2 linked regions of the Schizosaccharomyces pombe genome follow. Changing the gene in region 1 together with any one later gene gives a genetic interaction. Each region holds a gene or a part of one and is shown in the gene's direction. Other genes may lie near its edges.

Evidence for each region.
Region 2: mutations in sfp1 (region 1) and gsk3 together harm fitness more than expected from each alone (negative genetic interaction), as found in Schizosaccharomyces pombe (2 studies listed by BioGRID).

The regions. Positions count from the first base shown.
Region 1 is NC_003424.3:4,431,352-4,436,746, reverse strand, and holds sfp1 (transcription factor Sfp1), read left to right. Parts: upstream 1-2,233; 5' UTR 2,234-3,114; coding exon 3,115-4,443; 3' UTR 4,444-4,878; downstream 4,879-5,395. Other genes in the region: SPOM_SPAC9E9.02 (uncharacterized protein), read left to right, coding at 834-1,130; SPOM_SPAC9E9.01 (uncharacterized protein), read right to left, coding at 1,546-1,808, 1,850-1,886; tRNA dihydrouridine synthase Dus3, read right to left, coding at 5,162-5,395.
Region 2 is NC_003424.3:927,956-933,011, forward strand, and holds gsk3 (serine/threonine protein kinase Gsk3), read left to right. Parts: upstream 1-1,875; 5' UTR 1,876-1,983; coding exon 1,984-2,002; exon of another isoform or gene 2,003-2,050; coding exon 2,051-2,241; intron 2,242-2,722; coding exon 2,723-3,676; 3' UTR 3,677-4,242; downstream 4,243-5,056. Other genes in the region: SPOM_SPAC1687.14C (calcium-binding protein), read right to left, coding at 258-488; SPOM_SPAC1687.23C (uncharacterized protein), read right to left, coding at 1,204-1,518. UniProt on the Schizosaccharomyces pombe protein: Interacts with cdc14 which is thought to play a role in the initiation and completion of mitosis. Involved in the positive regulation of mis12.

The DNA.
Region 1 (5,395 bases):
AAAGCTTCGAAACTTGGACTAAACGATTGTTATTACCGGTACTGTTAAGTTACGTAAATTGTTGGTCAGGTAAACGGTTTGTACTAGACGGATGGAATTTGGAAAAGTTGGATAAAACACGGCAATGTTGATTATTTTAACGGTGTTTTGCGATACAGTCTTGCAATTCTTATTTGTCATAATAGATGCATAGCAATTGGCTCAATTTCAATTTCAATTTTACTTATTTTTTTTTTCTTTAAAGAATACCTTCGGGAATTGGTTGCGTATAGGAAGAATTGAATCTGTCTCACTTGAATTGTATGCGACAATGTCGTTTTGATGTTGTTGACCCATACTCTCTTGACACTTGTTTACTAATGTCATTTTTTCATTTTTTTCTCATAGACGATAGATTACTCCTTGGGATGTATGAATTTCTTTATCGTTTTCTTCAATTATTAATCCTATCAAATTGTCTGTAGTTTTTCATTCATGAACCAAGTCAGAATCACTTTTATCTTGGTCCTTGTTCATATCCCTTCGCTTGCCATAGCGCCAGCGCCCTTGACATCATGGTAGAGTGTGTTTGATATAGAAGCATCATAAACTATCCAATGGCCAGAACCCTAGAAGATTGCTGAGAAATGTAATTAAAACGTTGTAAATTCATTGCCTTTGGTATTGAGTGTGATGCCTGCGAATTTCATCTTTTCAACTACTGACCTAAGTGTGGTGGATATGTGGACAAATGATGGGATTGTTAAATAATGAAAATGATGCTTAAGAGTTTCTGGAAGAAAACGAAGAATTGATAGATTGGACATTTGACGTTGACTTTCCATTTCTATATAATGGATGTGGATTTCGCTAATGCCAAACACAAACTGCATTGTTTATTAAAAAAAAATTTCCTCTTAACGATTCGATTCAGTTCATTGGTTTCAATACAATACATCCCATTCTCCAATCGTTTGTATGAAATCATCAGTATTGCTCTAAATCCTTGCAATTTTTCTAAAAGTCTTTTTTGGTTACGAAAAAAAATAAAAAACTCCGTTCTGTTAAAAACTTCCTTTGATTCTAACGAAACAATTTTTTTTTTATATTCTCTTCATCGTTGTGTGTATTATCTTTTCATTTATCTGTGATAATACCGATTCTTTATTTATTTATTTACTTAGTTATATACTTGTTATTCCATTCTGTTCCTTTGTTAGTTACTGATCTTCACCTTACTTTCAATCATTTTCTTTTGGGTTGTTGTAAGGTTTATATATTTGGTTTATCTTGTACGATAGTTTGTTTTTTTCTTCATTCGCAAGCTATTCTATCTAGATATTTTTTTAGCTCCATTTCCTATAAGCTTTAGTTTTTCTTTTCCCTTTTCCCGTCTAATTTTTTCTTGTAAAATCGCTAGACGTCCATTTTCATTTTCTTGTTTGCTTGTCTTTTTACATCTCTTCCAAAAATATCCGTCTTCTCTTTACTAGCACAAAGAAGAGAAATATCCTTCCTCCATTTCAATTAAACGACGATATTTCTTTCATTTCATAGTCGTTTACTTTACCAATTAACCCTTGAAAGGACATTGTATCTCGCAAATTCCTTGAGTTTGCTTTCCCGGTAAATTTGGTATAACCGACAACGATCTTCATTGTCTGCCTCCATCCATTCCCCATTAGCTGCTTCACAACGTGACCAGACTGCGAACCCTGCCTCAAGTTTGATTACCGAACCAACATTTGAATCGCTAAACGTTTTTAGCCGCTTCGATTTTCCGAGAAACACATAAACAAAGATTGTGTGTGTTACTGTACCCGTGTGCACTTGACCGTATATTAGGACACTATAACGCTAAGCTGCGTACCGCTTAATTCTGCACTGAGCTCCAAGCCATCCGCCATCGTTCATTTGCGACCCTTTGTCTAGAAACTATTCGCCCCTTGTCTTCGGCCCCATCTATTGGAAGTAACGACCTTCCGATACGGCACTGACGAAGTTGCATTGTTACCCCTAATTACTTTGATCCAAGTTCGATCCACTCTGTGTACTCTGATTGGCTTTCTTATATTTAAGGGCCCCTCATTAGGTGTTTAAGTCTGAAAGCTTCACTGTTATTCGCTCGCATAGTCGGCGTCACTGTTACTTGACCCTTTTATCCTTGTTACCTTTATACATACGTAACGAGAAGGCTTGCTAAATCACCTTATCAATTACTACTTAAACACCGTCCTACCCTTCTTAACGCCTTATTCTGACTAACTTCAACGTGAGGACGACACGAAGGAAGCAGAAGCAAATATACTTACTTAACTTAAGGGAGTTAGTACAATCATAGAATTGTTGTTGAATACCATATATTCAACTTAAAAAAAATTAAACATATTTATAAAAAAAATTCGCTTGCAACATATATTGCGTCCACTAGTTGCCTGCAAAAAAAAGATTACTCTTTTGAAGTATCACCACTCTTTTCGATTGATCTCGATTGTTCATTGAATCAAAGCGTAAATTATTTACTATTTCGCTTTATTTTAAAAAAAAGTCGAATCGAACAGTTTCCTCGACTCGATTCGTTATTACTTGACTTTCTTTGTTGATTAAAAAGGATTCTTTAAAAGGTTTTTACTCCCTTTCTTTTCATCTTATTTATATTATACATTTATCATCCGTTAATCGCCAATTTGTTTAGACTGAAAAAATTAGATAAGTCACTTTGGGGTTTCCACTTAAAACATTACAATACACTAATTACACTTGGGTAATTTAGTGCTTAAAAATAGTTTACCTTCATTTTTTTGCTTGGTAAATTCTTCTTTTAGAAACTTTTTCCTTTTTTTTTCGAATTTATAGTTCGTCGAATTTCATTAGATTTTACATTCAGTCTTTTTTTAATTGCCTTTTTTTACCCCTCTCAGCGCTCTCTAAGAACTTGCCTTCCTTAAGTCGAGTTTTCTAAGTGCATTATTCCCTGATTTCTCAAAAAATAACTTACTAAATTATTTTGTTATTTTTATTCTATTTTTTCATCATTGGTATATAATTTTTAATTTGGTTTCTATTTATCGGTTTATCTTTTAATTTTCTCTTTTATCTCTTTAATTTTATTAATTCCCTTAAAAACTTTTCAATATGCCATCTCTCGCATTGCCTATCAATAAGCCTTCCCATCACAATGTCAACTACAACGGAAATTCCTTTAACAGCATTCATGCTACCTCTTTTGGAATGAGTCCACAGTCTTGGGGAAATAGCTTTAGTGGACAAGCTTGGCTTCGTGATACTATTCCATCTCTTTCTAACGTGGTTGAGTCACAAACGATTCCCGAAGAGGATTCTACCTCTTATCTAAACCGGTTAGAAGAAGCATTTTGCCGTGATTTCCGCTGCTGTGGTCAAACTCTCGAAGATTTGCATCAACTTATTCACCATTATGAAGAGCAGCACGCCGTTCTGGCAACTGATTCTGCTGTTCCTCAAGAATATTCTTTGGATAGCAACAACGCTGCTCAATCTAATCATTCTCATATTCAAGCGCTCAAACAGCGTGAGCGCATCCGTATGCATGATCTTGCTGATCAGCTTGGAACTTCTGAAATTTCTGATAATTCTGCTGTTTTACCATTTGCCTTTCCTGCTAACGGTGGTGCTCCTGGCCCTTACCGCGTTTCCGTTGTCGTACCTGCCGCTGCTGCTGCTGCTGCTGCCGCTGCCAGCTCCGACATGAGCAGTGACGAGGCCAGTAGTCAAGCAGAGACAACTGGTACCCCGAAAAAGATGCCTGAATCATTGGTAATGGATGCAAGCTCCCCTCTCAGTGACATGAGCATGTCTATTGACGTTGGTGAGTCCGCTGCCAATAATGTTTTTGCGTTCAATCAAAAGGACATGGTTGACTCTACATATCTTCCCCCATTCAATTACGATCACGATGTTTTTTCATTTGCTCCATCTGTCGCATCCGCCGATCAATTCACAGAGTCTAGCATGTCTCCTACTCCTGAAGTAGTTTCACCCGCAGCCACAAACTCAGCAATCTCATCCCCATTTGTTAGGAAATCTTCTAGTGATTTGGAAGCTAAGCCATCTAAAAAGCAGCGTTCTACTCCTGCATTCTCACACGATTCACCGCTCACTATTGATTACCCAGGCTCTAACTTGGTGGTTGTAGACAAGCCATACAAATGCCCTGTCCCTAATTGTGATAAGGCTTATAAGAATCAAAATGGTTTGAAGTATCACAAACTTCATGGACACTGTTCCCCCATTACTACTCCAACACCAGCTCCAATTCCTCATCAAGGGTTTGTTGTGGAAAACAAGCCTTATCGCTGTGAAGTTTGTAGTAAAAGATATAAAAACTTAAACGGTTTGAAATATCATCGTACACATAGTCATCTACAAGTGTCTATGGCCCAAGCTCAACGGGAAGTTCAAATGAACTTTATGCGCACCGCATAAATATGCTCTTTTTTGCCTTTGTAATATTTGAACATGAGATTTGTATCTCAGTTTCGTATCTTCAAGTTTGAATACTTTTATGTCTATCTTTGCTTTTAAGTTTGAGAAGGGTAGACATGTTGTGTGGAGTTTGCTTGATGTTTACGGGCTTGCATTTATCTGCATACAACAATCGAATTAGCTGTAAAGTGAACCTGTCTCCTTTGATTCATTCCCGTTAATTTTGCACTTACTTTATTACCTACATGATGGCTGTGTTTGTTTTGTTTGCTTTTTTTTTGTTTTTTAATTTTTTGTTTTGTCATTTTGGGATTCTGGATTTTTAATGGTTTTTATTGTGTATTAAGTTATTTTTGTACCAAATATCCTCTTGCTGTTATTATTATACCTTTTAAGTTAATAAATATGTATGGCAGTGTTATTTACCATATATTTGCTAAGTTATTTCACAACGTAGTTTCGATAGTAATTGTAGAGTACTGTAAGATCGTTGGTTAGTTCCCATTGGGTAAGTTGACTATATAACGTTAGATTCATTACCAATTTGCCTAGTCATTTGCGCATTTTACGAGACAAACACAGATCACTCGTATATAAGTCACCAGATATTTTATTAATCTACTTAATTCAATCCAGATGATAAGCCAGTATTAAGTATGAAAAGTTGATGATGCATATGAAGAAAGTGAATGCTCGATACACTAAGACCATAAGTTGTTTATCCCTCTGCCTCTTCCACACTATTGCTTTTGTGCTTTGGTGTAAAGGTGAATCGCTCAGGAGTAGGACCTAGGAAGAACTCACTCAATTTAACCCAGTCCGTAACTTTATTACTGGCCAAGAGAGTTTCCATCTCATCTCTCGCGGTATATAGAGGCGGTCTATCATTTAATCTGGGCCTTTGAACTTCGTACAAAGCTATAGGTGTATAACGATGGAAAAAGCTCATAAA
Region 2 (5,056 bases), 3.5 Mb from region 1:
TCAATAAATCAAGGTTTACGAAAGAATGTAGATTCTAGTATTGTTGTTCAAGCAGGCTGTGACACTTATCTTTAGCATCAATTGTAACCTACAACCAAGTATATAAAACAGGCATCTATGGCTTGAAAACAAAAAGAAAACACGAGGAAATATTGTTTAATCTTTTTTAGTACACTAAGTCCATCATCATTAAGTCATTAAAGTGCGAGAATGAATCCCATAAATAAAATGAAGTTTGTCTCCATTGATAAACAATCTCAAGATATATGAATCCACAATTCGGCAAATTCTTCACGCGATACTTTACCATTAGTGCCAGCTAAATCGAGCATCAACTGAAGCTGTTCTTTAGTCAAATTTTCCCCTAGTTGAGCGCAAGATCTTCGAAGGTCTTCAAAGTCAATGTACCCTTTGTGTGTCACGTCAAAAAGATCAAAAGCCTCTTCTGCTTCTTCATCCATTTCAAGACGTTTAGTACTGACAGACATGGTTCCCCTAAACTAAAAAACTATTCAACAAGGAAACGCAAATGCAAACAAATGAGATAGTGCCAAAAATGCTAAAATGAACGAAATAACAGTAAAAAAAAAGAAAGGAATGAAAATCAGCGTCCGATGGCTAGAAGAGATATAATTTGTTCAACAGTTATCAAAAAAAGACTAGAAGTGAGTTAAAAATCCAAACGAAAAGACAAGGAGGAATAATATGAACAGATAGACAATCAAAAGTGGAATAACTGCGTTTAAATACTAAGTAATCAGGCTATTTGATGCAATTTGAAGGTGGTACAAATGGAAATTTCGTGGTGCGATAAAGTGGACGAAACTTGACCTTAATGAATATATGGTATAAAAACGTTAAGCTGAATTTTTTTTTCTAAAACTGCCAAATCAACAAGGATATTGAAGAGACAGTTGGAAATCTCAAAATTTATGTATAAAATGTGTTCAATTGACTTTATTTACGTGCCAAGCCAACCTACTAAGGCGTTATTAGCTAATATAATAAATTGACCGAAGCTAAGGTTGTGCGCAATATTTAAATAACAAAACACGTAATACAAGATTTTTGATGAGTTAATAGATCGACTTGCAAAATGGCTTTAATGATGTAGGCTATCAAGCATAATCTCCTTTAGCGGTGTGGCATACTAATACTCGTGTTATATATTATATATGAATGTTTGACATTATTTATACACATTCATTTTTTAAGGATTCTTACTTTGTTTATGTATTTTTTAACATATTTGAGATGCTTCTGAGACATTGGTTCGCTCTCTGATTTCGTAGTTTTTCCATTTTTTCCTTTGAGACAGGGAGGGATACGCGATTTGCATATGCTAGTATAAATTTGTCTCCCTGTGAATGTTCCATTATTTACTGTATATGAATTGCGACAGCAGTTGCTACTGAAAGGTAGGAGCACAATTCTGATGGCATTTGAAAAGTCAAACTTCCTACTAGATTTTATGTGAATTATTTTAAAAAATATGTTTTTCTTTTCTAAAATCCACATCGAATTCAGTGTTTGCTCTAGCAGTTTCAAAGTATATCACTCTAAATTCGGTAACACTATTCAATATAACGGACTGGAGGAATTAAAACTCACAATGTGATAATCGCGTATACGTAAGATGGTTAATAACCATGAATTCAATTTCTCAAGCACGAATTTTTCATTAATATACGTACTTTTTTATGGTTATTGTAATAAATAAGAGGAAAGAATGAACCCTCTTTTCTTTGATACTTGCGCCGAGAGTTTACAGTTTTATGATTTGCTCATGTCCCGTAATGTTACCTCTTAGAAGTACGCACTTTGTATCATGCTACTATACCCCAGAGATTATTCTATGGTAGAACTTCCTCCACTACCACAACCCGTACTCCACGTTCATCACGCCAAGAAAACCTCCTTTTTAAGTCCTCTGATAGCTTTTTTTTCATTTTGTAATTTAACATTTCTGTATCATCATCCATAATGAATCATGGTACTAAAAGTAAGTTGGCTAACTTCGATAGTGCTGTTGTTCTAACCGTATAAATAGTTCCTGTGGACCCCTTTCGTATTATAAAGGAAACCGCTCGTGATGGGTCAACGGGAGAGGTGAAGCAACTTTCTTACACTTCGAGTAAAGTTGTGGGCTCTGGAAGCTTTGGCGTGGTCATGCAGGTTCATTTAATTGAATCAGACAGCAAAGCCGCTATAAAACGCGTTTTGCAAGATAAACGGTTTAAGGTATGTATTTTTATTGAATGCAAAATGCGAAAGGAAGGGTTAGATTTTACTTTATTTTTCTGTGAAAACCGCACACTTTTGTTTACGCTGAAGATACGTAGCGCGCGTGCTTCGTCAATATACGTAAGATTCATTTACAAAAGATTGGTCGTCTACATGCCATAAATGGTAAGAGAGTAGTGTTATTAAAACATTACTTGCTTTTGTGCTTTCTCTTCTTTGAAGTGTCCACAGGCTTACCATACCTGTTGTCATGAAATTGTACAACTCAAATGCCTATTGCTTTTTTTTTGCATCCATTGTACGATACACAAGCTTTTTTTAGCCAGTATTTGGATGCGTTGAAAATTTAGTGTATTCGTTTTGAACATATTTTTCCTTTTTCCCTCCTCCATTTTTTGCACTTCTTTCTAGATTTATAAAAAAACTCAGTATTATAAATCTTCTCCAATGAACCTTTGTTTCTAACACTTAATTTTAGAATAGGGAGTTACAAATTATGCGAATTATGAAGCATCCAAATATTGTCGATTTAATTGCCTACTATTATACCACCGGTGATAATTCCGATGAAGTCTATCTAAATTTGGTTCTAGAGTTTATGCCTGAAACGATTTATCGTGCTTCTCGTCTATATACTCGTCAAAAACTTTCTATGCCAATGCTGGAAGTCAAATTGTATATATATCAGCTTTTGCGTTCTTTAGCCTACATTCATGCTAGCGGTATTTGCCATCGTGATATCAAACCTCAAAATCTACTATTAGATCCGGAAAACGGAATATTAAAGCTTTGTGATTTTGGTAGCGCAAAAATCTTGGTTGCTGGTGAACCAAATGTCTCTTATATATGTTCTCGTTATTATCGAGCTCCAGAATTGATTTTTGGAGCTACTGATTATACTCACGCTATTGACATCTGGTCTACTGGATGCGTGATGGCTGAGCTTATGCTTGGACATCCTCTTTTTCCCGGTGAAAGTGGCATTGATCAGTTGGTAGAGATTATCAAAATTCTCGGTACTCCTAGTCGAGAACAAATAAAGACTATGAATCCTAATTATATGGAACATCGATTCCCACAAATACGTCCACAGCCTCTTTCACGAGTGTTTTCTCGAAGTGTTCCCCTTGATGCATTGGATCTCTTATCAAAAATGCTTCAATATACACCTACTGATCGCCTTACTGCTGCTGAGGCAATGTGCCATCCCTTTTTTGATGAGCTTCGGGATCCTAATACTAAGCTTCATAACTCTCGTAATCCCGATGCTTCTCCTCGTCATTTACCCGAATTGTTTAATTTTTCCCCCTTCGAACTATCCATTCGTCCTGACCTTAACCAAAAACTAATTCCGTCCCATGCTCGCGATGCTTTACCCGTGAAACTTGATGATTTTGTTCCAATTCCAATTCATCGTGCCCGAATTGATTAAATGTAACGGGTATATGCATTCATCTTCTAAAGTTCTTGTATATCCATTTTTGCCACCAAACTTATTTTACTTCTTTGTTGTATTACGCATTAATATAGCCAGTGAATCTGCCTTGTTGTGCGTACATATACCAATCGCTATCTATACTGATTCTACAATGGTCTACTTGTGTGGATATTCTTTTCGTTCACTTTTTTTTTGTCGTTATTGGTGTTGAATAAATCAAACCTGAATTTTGTTTTGATGAGAACTAAATTTTTTCGATCACGATTATTTTCTTAATTGTTATTTTAGGAGTCATAAGTAGACCATCTTAGTTTGCTGAAAGTTTTTCAGCGACTTTAAAACTTTAATTGGATGAGAAATGTAATCGGTAATTCTTTCATTCTGGAAAGTATACTGCAGAATCTCATATATACATATATATCATAATTCTTATACTAGTAAAATGTTTGTGATTGATTCAATTAATATTTTATGGTTAGGTTTCAAAAGAATGTTTTGTTTTTATTATTGTTTAATTCATTTTTTTGTCCTCATTAAAAATTCTTTTGGTAGAGTCATTACTAAGTTTTTGCTTCGTAGACTACATGAAAGAAGCTGGTGAGGCGAAGTAATATTATGATTCAATACTACCTAAGATATAGCAAACATCAAAAGGGTACAAAATTCTAGGAAATCATCTGGCAACGTTAGATATCAATATGTAAATAGAAATAGAAAAACATGTAAATCTAATTACATACTAAGTCAATAAATGGAAAGGAGTCTGGTAATTTTTGATTAATTAGCAGTGGTTTACAAACGAATAGTTACTAGTTATTGCAAATCAAAATTAGTGTCGATGACATGTGTAAGCTTGACATTCATTTTATTTCAAAATAGAAAAGTAAAGATAAGAGCAAAATTTTCATTTCGTATACGAAACTAGCAAACAACTACAACGACGTGAACAGCAAAAACGAGTGTATTTGAAGTAAATTATTTGTGAGATGATAGTACCAATCAACCCAACTGAACAAACAACGTTTCAAAAGGGAGGTGGTAAGAAATTGCAAAGCAAAAAAAACAAGTCATTTGAAAAGAAAGGAGTGAATGACTAGATGCGAGACTTCCAAATTTTCTGGATTTATCGTTCTAAAAGAATAAACCGAAAAAAAACAAACTTGGGAATGCTAAAGAGACTCGAAATGTAAATTAGCAAAAAGTTTGCAAAGGATATATAAAATCGCTCACATTGTTCCTTTATAGCAACTGAAGGTAGAGCGGGTAAATAATGCATGTAATACCAACCATAGAAATAGAAATACGTGACCAAAAGAGTAAAACCAACGGGGAAAAATGAAATGGGAATGATGAAAACGAAAAAAAAAAGTAAAA